3 linked regions of the Coturnix japonica genome follow. The protein of the gene in region 2 interacts with the protein of the main gene of each other region in a pairwise test. Links are inferred from orthologs where the notes say so. Each region holds a gene or a part of one and is shown on either strand. Other genes may lie near its edges. The genes, in order: PCNT, TRAF3IP1 and FGFR1OP2.

Region 1 (3,651 bases), about 950 kb from region 2:
TATTCAGAAAAGGAAACAACTCTTTCCACTGTTTGATATCCTCAGACGTATTATATACTTATTACATAACTAGGAAAAGAATTCCTTTGGTAGTAGACTCAGCAATGCAACAGAGAAAGAGACATACATAGAAAAACGCATACTAAATATGTTGGCATAAAGATGGTGTGAGTATAGGAGTTCCTGTCTTTTTTCTACCATCAAGCTGAAAAAAACAGATTTCCTCAGAACACTAAAACAAACCCCTACAACACAAACACCACCAACACTGCCACAACTTAGATGTGTACCAGAACCCAAAGAACACAGAACAACCTCCTGATAATGAACAAATATATGCCATTTTCCTCACCTGAGATGCAGGAGGAGTCAATAAATCTGATTTTAGTTCCTTTAATGTCTGCAGTAAAGATGCTACAGCTTCATCATTTGATACATACCAGTCACTAACCGTTCTGTTAAAAAGAAACACTTTGTCAGTATGGTTGATTTTTAGTGATCTTATATTATAGTTAGCACACATTCTTCCTCCCCATTGAAATATCTTAAGTTTTGATGCTGTCCTCATTTACTACCTATCAAACACAACACAATGAATCAGAAATTTTTATTAAATAGTGGAATTTCTAAATAGTGCTGAACAAAAACTTATTCAGAAATCCGTATTCTCTACCAGTGTGAAATTCAACCATGCAAATTCAGGCTGCAGCAAAATTTTATTGGTATTTTACTTTGCTGCCATAGAAACTAAAAATTACTGAGCTTGGCCAACTTTTCCCTTCCTCAATACAGCCCACCATTCCAAACCTGCAGCTGCCTTGATTAAGCTGTTTTTCTGATTGCTCTCCAATCCGGATTTATTTGCTCACTGCAAACTAAAAAAAAAACTCCTTCAAACTCCTGTTTTCTCTTTTTGGAGTTGCTCTTTTTATGAAAGGTTACTTCACAGATCTGGTTTGCAGGCAGGCATAAATGATTTTTACAGGAATGGGGATGACAACCTTCTAAACACAGTCTGCTAAGCACCACGTAATCATGGTTTCACATCGCAATCTTGTAAGCAGAGGAAATGATACGCAATCCATTTCCTTTAGCTGATGGCTCTCAGCCATGATCTGTGCGAGTTCAGAAGCTGTATGGAGAGAAAACTACTGTTTTATGAACAGCATTTAAGCTACTCACTTATCTACAGTTTTACACATTAACTCAACGAGACGTGCAGCTACAAAAAGCAACTGTTGTCTTATCTTCTCCAGCTGTTGCTGCTGCTGCAAGTTGAATTTTTCAGTTTCTTTTGTCATGGGCTCTTTGGCATTTTGATCTTTGTCTGAAGTACACAACGGTCCTCGTTGACTGCTGGGAGATGGAGGACTTCTTTCTGTTTCCTCTAAGATCGCCATGATTTCCTGCATCTCTTTAATTCTTTGTTCATCCCTTTGGTGTTGCAGTTCCAAGTTTTGCTATTTTAACAGAATAAGTAGTAATAAATTGCCACTTGTACATACACACACCCCAGTACATATGGATTTAGATATGCAGACCACATATGAAAGCACCACACCCAACTAACATATCCACATCTCAGTGTTTCTTAAGCCATGTACCACTTTACAGGGGGAAACTTATACTACTGCACTCCAGGGCTACCAGGAAGCCATTTAACTACAGAGTGAGCATCATCTCCATCCATTTCCTGACTTTGCAACTTGCAAGTCTTCAGAAAGTCTACAAAGCCCCCTTGTTCCTCTAATGAAAGTGAAGGAGCTGAGAAACAAGGGTGAAACCTAGTTTGGTTACCTACTATGTTTAAACCACACTTAATGTCTCCTCCATTTGCTAACAAGAGGCAATCCCCAACATAGACCTAAACTAAACCCAGAAAACAGCTACATTTGAAAAATGCAGGCAGCTGGTTTAAAGCATTTTTCATAACACTCTGTTACAGGGAAGGAAACATTTTAATTAGAGGACATTATGCACTGTGTTAATTACCAATTCATGGTTAATTCAATCTAAGGGAAGACTCAGACATTCTTACAAGTCTCTCCTGATCCTTCTGTCAGCCCTCCTCTTTGTTTCTGTTTGTTGCTGCTGCCTTTGCTCTCTCTACTCTTTCTTATTTTTATCTTGCACTGTTTTGAAGAGTAACTGCAATTCTTCCCAGTTAGCTTTCAACTTTGCCTCTCTCTCCTTCTGGGCCTCCAGGGAATGGATTACCTCTTGCTTTTGACTCCTAAGAGATTCCAGTGTTGCTCGGAGTTTGTTAGTGGTCTCATTCTCCATTTGTGTTTCTTCACAACACATCTGTACTTCAGCCTCTAGTTGCCTTTTGGAACGAATGGCTTTCTGGTGTGTTTTCTCAATGATAGCAGCTAGCTCTGCCTTGCGGGATCTCTCTTCCTCCAGCTGGGCTTGGAGCTCTCGGATAAGGGCCTGTTCTAGCAATAACTCCCTGCGCTGACAGGAAGCCTCCTCCTTAGCTTGCATGCTCAACTGTTCTGTCAAAACACGCTCGTGATTCAAGGAATTCAAGAGCTCCATAGAATGATTTCTCTCAGCATCCAAGTTCTTCTGTAGCTCCAACACTTTGTCATGTTCTTGAGACAATAACGCTTCACAGCGGGAATATTCTATCCGAAGTTCCTTGCGGAGATTATCATTTATTATTTGTTCATGCTCTAAGGATACAGACAGCTTGTTATTTTGCACCATCTGCAAATCCAAGGCAGCCTGTAAATCCTGCACAATGAGAGAAACACAGTGATATTTTAACATAAGCACTCATTTGTGGGGTGCTCTGGCATTCAGTAATTTTCAAAATTATATTTTATTCAAGGAGAAAAGAAATCAAGATTGAGCCAGACTAGTTCAGGTATTTAAAAAATTAATTTATAAACACAAGTTCAATTTTCTGAGTGCCAGAAACATGCTCTTTACAGTCACGATACCAATTAATACAACCAAGGATCTTAATATGAATATACCTTGTGGTACATTATTTTTCCTTCAATCATTAATAACCTCACTGAGAAATCAATTTATCTTTTTTTTTTTTAACATTACCCAATCATCTTAAATGATATCTGAAGCAGAAATAACCTGAATTTTGATTAAAAAACACTAATAAACAGTCATCTAAGCAGTAAGACTATCTATAAAACCTTTTGGTTTTACAGCCCACCTATTTAAAAAATGCAGAACAGACTGATGACAATAACCCATTTTCATTAGTCTGATTTCATAAAGGAAGCAAGTAAATGAAGGGGCAGCCTCAGGAAGCCAGAACAAACATGGCAGGGTTTTCTGCCCTCTCTCCCCAGGCAGCACCAGATCTCTGACCACTAAGCGGCACAAACCTGGTACCATCAGTTTTCTGTAGTACTGGGAATGCAGGACTGCAGTCACCTGAGAATGGTTACACCTCTTGCACAGCTTTACCTGGGGCAGTGCACTTTCACTTTGCTTTTGACCAATATGGTCCCCGTGTTCTCTGCATGAACAGCCCTTGTACAAGATACACACAGTGCTAACGTGCTCCACCATAAAAGCAGAAAAAAAGCCAAACCAACAAAGAGAAAACACCTACACACTTAAATAATTACCAGAAGGAGAACAAAAATCAGAGGGCAAACCATAAGGAAATTGTCAGAG
Region 2 (3,651 bases):
AACAGGAGGGGGACCAACTTTTGACATGGTCTAATCAGGATAAGACAAGGAGGGATGGTTATAAACTAAAAGAGGGGAAATTTAGGTTAAATATAAGGAAGATAATTTTCACTCAGGAGGTGATGTGGCACTCCTGCAGGTTGTCCAAAGAGCTGCACGTGTCCCATTCCTGAAGGCATTCAAGACCAGTTTGGATGGGGCCCTAGGCAGCCTGAGCTGGTGGGTGACAACACTGCCCATGACAACGGGCTTGAAACTGGATGGTCTTTAAGGTCCCTTCCAACCTAAGTCATTCTATGACTCTACCATAAGCCACTGCTGTGTAAATGAACCTAAGAGGAACAAAACAGGAAAGAAGAAGAGTTCAGTCCTCAGGGCAGAAGAAAGCAGGCAACACATTAGGCAATGGCATATCAGACAGCTTGAAAGGGGGTTGTTTTAACTTGTTTCAAGTGCAGTGTATTTTTAGAAAGCTGAAAAAATGGATGCTTAAGATATATCAATGCAGCACACACTACCAAATAATGCAATCAAATACTCTTTGTAGGCATTAATACAAAAGTTGTTTCCTTTGCTTTTAATACATTTGTTTCACATGACATAAATGGTATTACAGCAATTTAAGTCAGGGTAAATCCCTGGGAATAAAGGCATTATCCTGCTGTGAAACTACTGGGAGGAAAGTAAGATCAACCTCAGTGCACTAAGGTGCACCTCTCGACTATCTCATGATGGAATGTTCTCTAAATCACTTTACACAGCTATCCAAGCTCTCCAGCTTTACGAGATTCATTGGGAGCGTTTTCATTTCATTCCTCTCTTGCAGAGCCTTAGTAAGGTGACCATTTGTCATGCACTCGTCTAAAGAGTATGTTTTCAACACCTAAAAGCAAAGCAGCGTCTACCGTTACGCAAGCAAGTAAAGGAACAGCATGTTATCTAGATTTAAGGTAGTAAAGCAACATGCCTTGGAATCACTCCCAAAAGCACTTAAGACGGGAAATGAAACTTTACTGCCCCAGCATATTCCAGTGGTGCCCAAGAGCACTACGACAGCTTGGGACGAGGCTCAGAATTTCCATTAGAGACCCAATTTGCAGGAAGTTTAACTTGGCCATGAACGTTCGCTTCAGGCTGAAAACTATTTTATAAGCTCTCCCTCCAAGTGCCAATAATTCAAAAACTTTGGTTGGATTTCAGTCAAAAAACAGCTATAAATTTGTCATCTCATGTAGAAGACACAATGATGTCAGCGGCCCACAGAATTCCAACAGAGACGCCTGCTGGACTTGGGATGCTGCCTATTTCTTCCTAGCATGAACTACCTTCAGGCTAATTTATTGAAGGCTCACTCTTAAACATTTAGCCATACGGTTCCTTAATTCCCCATATTGCCTCAGGTCATCAAGAAGCAGCAGATGCAGACACAATGGTATCACAAACAACAGCTACTGTTCAGAGGCAGTCAGCAAGTTCCTGTTCCACCCTACCATCATCCAGCTGCAAAACACAATGCAAAACTGGATTTATTTTCCATTCAACCCAGCAACCGCTATTAAAACACCTGTCCTAAATCCTAGCAGCTGGCACGGTTTGGATTGAGGGTAAGAACAATGTTGATAGCACAACAACGGTATAGCTGTTGCTAAGGAGTGCTTACACTCAGCCAGGAAGAACTCTGCAGCTTCTTGTGCTGGCTGCCAACAAGGCACTGGGGTGCACAAAGATATGGGAGGGGACAAAACCAGGACAGCTCACCTAAGCTTGCCAAAGGGATATCCCATACATACGGCATCACCCTGAGATAGCCAGGATTCCACTGCTGGGCATCAGTCAGCTGGTGGTGAACAAATGATTTTTACACTGCTTGTTTAGTTGCTTTTCCTTTTTTTTGTCTTATTAAACTCCCTTTATCTCAACCACCCCCCCACCCATTTTTGCACTTTGAACTTTTCAGTTCTCTCCTCCAGCCCAAAGCTGGGGGTGCGAGTGAGCAGCTGCATCACACTGAGCTGCCTGATCAAACAAACATATAGCAGCATTCCAGGAAAGAGGAAAAAGGAGAAACCTTTGAACAAATAAACATTTTCCTGTAGTAGTCAACTAAATAAAAATACTCAGACAACCTATTTTAGAGCCCTAAAACTTGGCATCTACTTCACTTTCAATCTTCATTTCCTTAATGCAGATTTCCAAACCATTCTAAACTGGAACGCTTTCAAAGCTCGCCTTCCCCGATCTTCTATATCATTAACCTCATCATCTGGCTGGCACCTGCTGGCTTTAGTTGGCTTCTGCAGTTTTCTAAGTTTGGATTCCTCAGAATCTGCAGACTAAAATGAAATATTTGCTTTAGATTCCATGTGCTGAGTAACAGCCTAGTTAGCTGAAATATATGAATAGGAAATGAGCATACAGTGCAACTGGGCGCATTACAACAGAATTCTTAGCCATCTACCTGCTCTCCTCAACTGGCTTGGCTCTCTTGGAAGTCTAACAGGGCAAGATTCACTGTTCAACTGATCTCTCTATGGAAGAAGTAAGCTCAAGAGTGAGACAAGCAACCAGCTATGGCTCAACAAAGCTCTCTTTAACCCCCACCTTCCCCAGAAGCTAGCTTTGGCTGAAGCAACAGCATGCGTTACTAGAAAGATGCATGACAATGACAGCGAATAATTCCAACAATAGCTGCCACTCCACTCTATCAGATTGAATCTAATGTGATGAGGAGAATTCAAGCAAGCACAGTTCAGAAAATAAACTGCTTAACAGACATTCAGGAAGCACTGGGCAGATGAGTCTGACTGCTCGCAGACAGGAAGGTGCACATACAGCCTCGGCCACATCCTTAACAGATTAAATCCATAATAAAAAAACATTCACTGTTACAGAAAACGCTTCATAGTTGAACACTGCTCTGCGATAAGATCTCACTTACCTTTTTCTCTGCTTTATCCTTTCCGTGTTCTTGTCCATGCTCCCCATCTTTCCCTCTGTCTCTCTGTTTGTCCCTCTCAGGGTCTTTTCCCTTTTCTCTGTCTTTCTCTCGTTCTCTCTCCCTACCCTTATCTTTGTCTCTTCCTTTCAGTCTGTCCGTTTCTCTTCCTCCTTCATTTTTTTTCTCCTTTTCTTGTGCTTTATCCCGTCCAATATTATCTTCTCGTTCTATGTCTCTTTTTCCCTTGCTTTTTTCTGTTTCTCTTCCTTGTTTGGTCGTTCTGCTTTTGTTTCTTTCCCTTTCTTGTTTTCCTCCTTCCTTAGAGTTGTCCCTTTCAGAGTCTTTGTGCCTGTCTTCATTATCCTTCTGTTTTTCACTTTCCTTTTCTCTTTCTTCGTTTTCTTTGACGTCTCCTTTGGGTTTTCTGTCTCTGCTCGAACTTCTGTCTTTAATGTCAGTTTCTCCTCTTCCCTAAAACAAATCAAAAAGTAATATTCAATTTCAATAGATGTCAACTCTATCACATAGTTACTTTCTACATACAACATGCCCACTATAGAAATAAAATATATAATAATAATGAGTAGCCAGTGTACCCAACAGGAGTTTCCTACCTCTTTATCCCTATGGTTTTTTTGGTCTGTTTTGGACTCCCTGCTTTCTGTATCTCGAGGTTTACTGGATGGAGGTTTTCCTTTAGCATCAGCTCTTTC
Region 3 (3,651 bases), on a different chromosome or scaffold from region 2:
ACACGCTGAACAAAATGTGGTAACTCGCTTAGCAGCAGCCTTAGCGCTCTGAACAATGAGCAGAAGCGGTCTGACAAAAGCCAGCTGTCAATCATTGCGGCGCCTCTTTCATGGCAAACACATCTTACGAAGCACTTCTGGTGTACAGGCAAACCGTGCAAGCTACTTCTTGTTCTAGAAGCGCTAATTCATTTTCACCTCTGCAGCTTTTTCACTAATAAAAGTGAGCAGTCTTGTCAGTGTGATGTATTGAGAGCTCCCAGTGAAAATACACAAAACTCCTTGACTAAATAGTACTTAAAGAAAGAAAATAATAGTTCCAGGTGCACAGTCTGCTAACTTTGCCATAGAATTTCTCACCTCTTTCTCCCAATTATCTTTCCCTCAGTACGGTCTGAGTGCTTTCAAATTGCTGTTTCTAGCTTTGGGCAGCCAATCCCCAAAGAAACAGATGAGACTACGGCAGCCTGCCACCCACAGAGAACTGAGCTTCATTTTCTCTCATAAGGTAAAAACAACTGCAAAAGTATTGCTTATGTTTGAGCAACTGGCCTTACATTGCAACAGGGCAGCCTGCGGCTAACAGGAGCCCGTCGGCTTTCTGCTGGCTCTTTCCATTAAAGAGGCTCGTTGCTAAATGCTGAATTTCACAAACCTTAGTAACTAAAAGGACAAATGAACTATGGAGCATGCACAAAGCGTAGTCAGTCGCTATCTTTTAGCCAGATATCAGACTACTTTAAATCTTGCATTTATTGTATAATAGGTGCACTGAAGTTTTGTCCGAGCAATAAATTATATAAATTAAGTGAAATTATGTATTTTATTTGTAAAATGACTTCATATAAAAATAATTCCCAATTCCATAAGTGCACTAACCCATTTCCTACTGAAGTTAGACCTATGGCAATTAATCTGTCACTACGGTATTCAGAGAGTACCGACTGGAGTTTATTTTACACGGTATAAAAGCCACTAAACCAAAGTTCAAGATGCATAAGCCTGCTGGTGCCCTATTCAGTAACAAGTGCTTGACAAGTGACCCCTGATATTCCGTTTGTAAAGTGTGCAATTAAAGCTGGTTGGCTTCCACAGTCTTCAGCTCTTCCTCAGGCTCAAATCACTGCTTGTTACTAACCCTGAAAGGGATGTACTCTCTGATGCATCTTCTTTCTTAAGGTTCAGGAATGATTCTCTGGTTATCTGAAGAATTTCTCTCAAGCCTTTGTTTTCTTGCTATAACCGAGGGATAAAAAAAGGCATTTAATAGAACTCCAGAAAGTCAGATAACTACATGAAGGATCTCTCCTTCCCTTTACTACAAACACACTTACAAAAGACATGCAACAAACTAGCAGTACCAGTGAATGATCCAGTAACTCAAGAAAGAGACAGTAACTCAGTAACTGTGATAAGGTTAACACCCTTGCTAAGGGCTGAGTTCTAGAAATAACTGAAGCACTGGGAACAACAGAACCAAAGGCATTTTACACACAACGAACTGTACCAGAAGGTAAGTGCACAAAGCGGCTTTTGTTTTACGTGCCGGATTACCACAGAGTTACAAACAGAAAGGATCCCTTTACTGAAGAGTTTACTGACTTTAAAAACTGTTGTTAGGGTTGGTAGCAGCATTGGAAATAATTAAACATTGCACCCAGTTCCTCACTCGATAATAACGTGTGACTTGGTTCCACAACGTCTTATAAAAAAGCAGCCAAATTGGTAGCGCACTGGGAAAACCTTTGTCAAAGGAAATGATTTAATACCGAGGGAGACTGGAAAACCAAGCAGGTGACTAAAGCAAAAGTCTAAATCAGCATCTCAGGATTTGTGGCAATTTCAGCAAATCTACTGCAAGAATACAGAACATGATTTGCTCCCGAGTTCTGGAAAGATGGCACCGCAGCAGAGACCAATCTCATGTCAGCTACAGCCCCCTCAGCTCCTTGATACAACATCAAACTAATTCTCCTAAGTAAACTAATTACCTGAAACAGTCCAGCTCCATGAAGATAGCACGCAGCTATCTTAATGCTGGCTTTGAGTACTGGCAGCAGATGCACGGGAAGCTGGCTATTCCTAAACCCTAAAGTACTGAAAGACTGTAAAAGAAAGGTAGAACTGTAGGGTCAGAACAAGATATTTTGTTTAGAGACGTGGAGCACAATTTAAAGCTTGTGTGAACGTATTTGGGTAGCGGTAACCTGCTCCCCCAACTCCCCAAATAAGTGGCAGAGAGTTTCCCTGTTCTGACAGCCAGACTCTGATCTGTGTGTAATCGCAACTTCTTGTCTCACAGTCAGTTCTGAGCATTTCTCACTGGGAGGGTAGAGGAAGACAGATCCCTATTTGTGCCATCACTGGCACAAATCTCAAAAAAAGATCTCATACTTACTTCAAGCTGAATGATACGTTCCTGCTCTTTACAGCCATGCTTGTCATCAATTTCAATGGCTTTCCTCATTACCGCTGCCATTTCTGTAATTTGGTCCACGTGCACTTGTAGTTCCTACACCATATAGATAAAACAGTACTTTTAGTAATAAGCTTTCTTCATTACTAAAAATAAAGTATTACATGTGCATTTAAACTGCCGTGTCATGCAATAAAAATGCAAACACAGACCTAAACAAAGAAGCGCTAACTCTACAGCATGAGCAGCCACTGCAGTTCTGTTCATTTAAATCAATCTGGTTTGCCACACGGTTCACTTTTAGGAGTTTTACAGAAGAAAACATGCCCAAATGACTGTGCCTTTGACAGCTTCCATGTCTCCCAGATGGCTGTTAGACAGCCACGTGTTTGCTCTGGCAAGAACTTCCTGTACTGCAGGAGCTGATGTATGCGTCCTTCTGGATGTGCAGAAAGGCCAACTTCATCTGAGCACAGCAGCATATTGGACCTGTTTGAAAGCTGGTCGCAAGTCTGGTACAGACAGTACTCGCCCGTGAGTGGGCATTTCTCTGTTAGAAAGAGCAGGCAAAGCTGTCATCCTGACTATGACATAAGTTGGAAAACTCTGAGTCCTTTTTGCGGTACCGCTGCTCAAATCCACTTCCCATTTCAGCTTATCTGGGATCTGGTCTCTAGAGGTCCTTGTCCTTGTTGAACTCTAGAAACACCCTCGTGTCCTGCCTGACCTCCACTAATTAATACCAATAGGGTACTTCCCTATTATAAATAATTACTGCATCTCACTGAAATATTCATGGAGGAGAAAAAAACAACAAGTGCAGTAGTTGTCTTTGCTCATCTTGTTCCACTGCCAGGAAAGTGATGATAGGAGACATTAACACAGGCCTAACAGCCTTTGCAGGGAAGTTAGATTTTGAATAATCTCCCCTGTTTGCAAATAAGTGATATCTTACTTGGCCCTTGTTGGCTTGGGTGATGTTTTACTTTCTCACTGGCCAGCATATCAGCAAGAAGCACTTATAGAGCCTCTGCTTATTTCTCTTGAAAAATGTAGATGAAGAGCCTAAGTGATTTGGCATTCACTGCTGTAGAGTTAAGCCAAATACTTTAATGTATTTACAGACGCTTTTAATTTGTCCAGTCTTTCAACCTGTTTCTTATTCCAAATCCACTAACAGACCTGCCTCTCCATGCCTGGCCTGACCTTTGGGCAAAATTCACAACATTTATTAA

What was found.
Region 1: the proteins of TRAF3IP1 (region 2) and PCNT interact in a two-hybrid assay, tested with the Homo sapiens proteins (2 studies listed by BioGRID and IntAct). The link is inferred for Coturnix japonica from reciprocal best matches to the Homo sapiens genes TRAF3IP1 and PCNT.
Region 3: the proteins of TRAF3IP1 (region 2) and FGFR1OP2 interact in a two-hybrid assay, tested with the Homo sapiens proteins (2 studies listed by IntAct). The link is inferred for Coturnix japonica from reciprocal best matches to the Homo sapiens genes TRAF3IP1 and FGFR1OP2.

The regions. Positions count from the first base shown.
Region 1 is NC_029522.1:2,343,733-2,347,383, reverse strand, and holds part of PCNT (pericentrin), read right to left. Parts: intron 2,740-3,651; coding exon 2,218-2,739; intron 1,461-2,217; coding exon 1,183-1,460; intron 456-1,182; coding exon 353-455; intron 1-352. UniProt on the Homo sapiens protein: Integral component of the filamentous matrix of the centrosome involved in the initial establishment of organized microtubule arrays in both mitosis and meiosis. Plays a role, together with DISC1, in the microtubule network formation.
Region 2 is NC_029522.1:3,289,375-3,293,025, forward strand, and holds part of TRAF3IP1 (TRAF3-interacting protein 1), read right to left. Parts: coding exon 3,553-3,651; intron 3,410-3,552; coding exon 2,939-3,409; intron 1-2,938.
Region 3 is NC_029516.1:62,494,040-62,497,690, reverse strand, and holds part of FGFR1OP2 (FGFR1 oncogene partner 2), read right to left. Parts: intron 2,513-3,651; coding exon 2,399-2,512; intron 2,106-2,398; coding exon 1,992-2,105; intron 1,237-1,991; coding exon 1,099-1,236; 3' UTR 1-1,098. UniProt on the Homo sapiens protein: May be involved in wound healing pathway.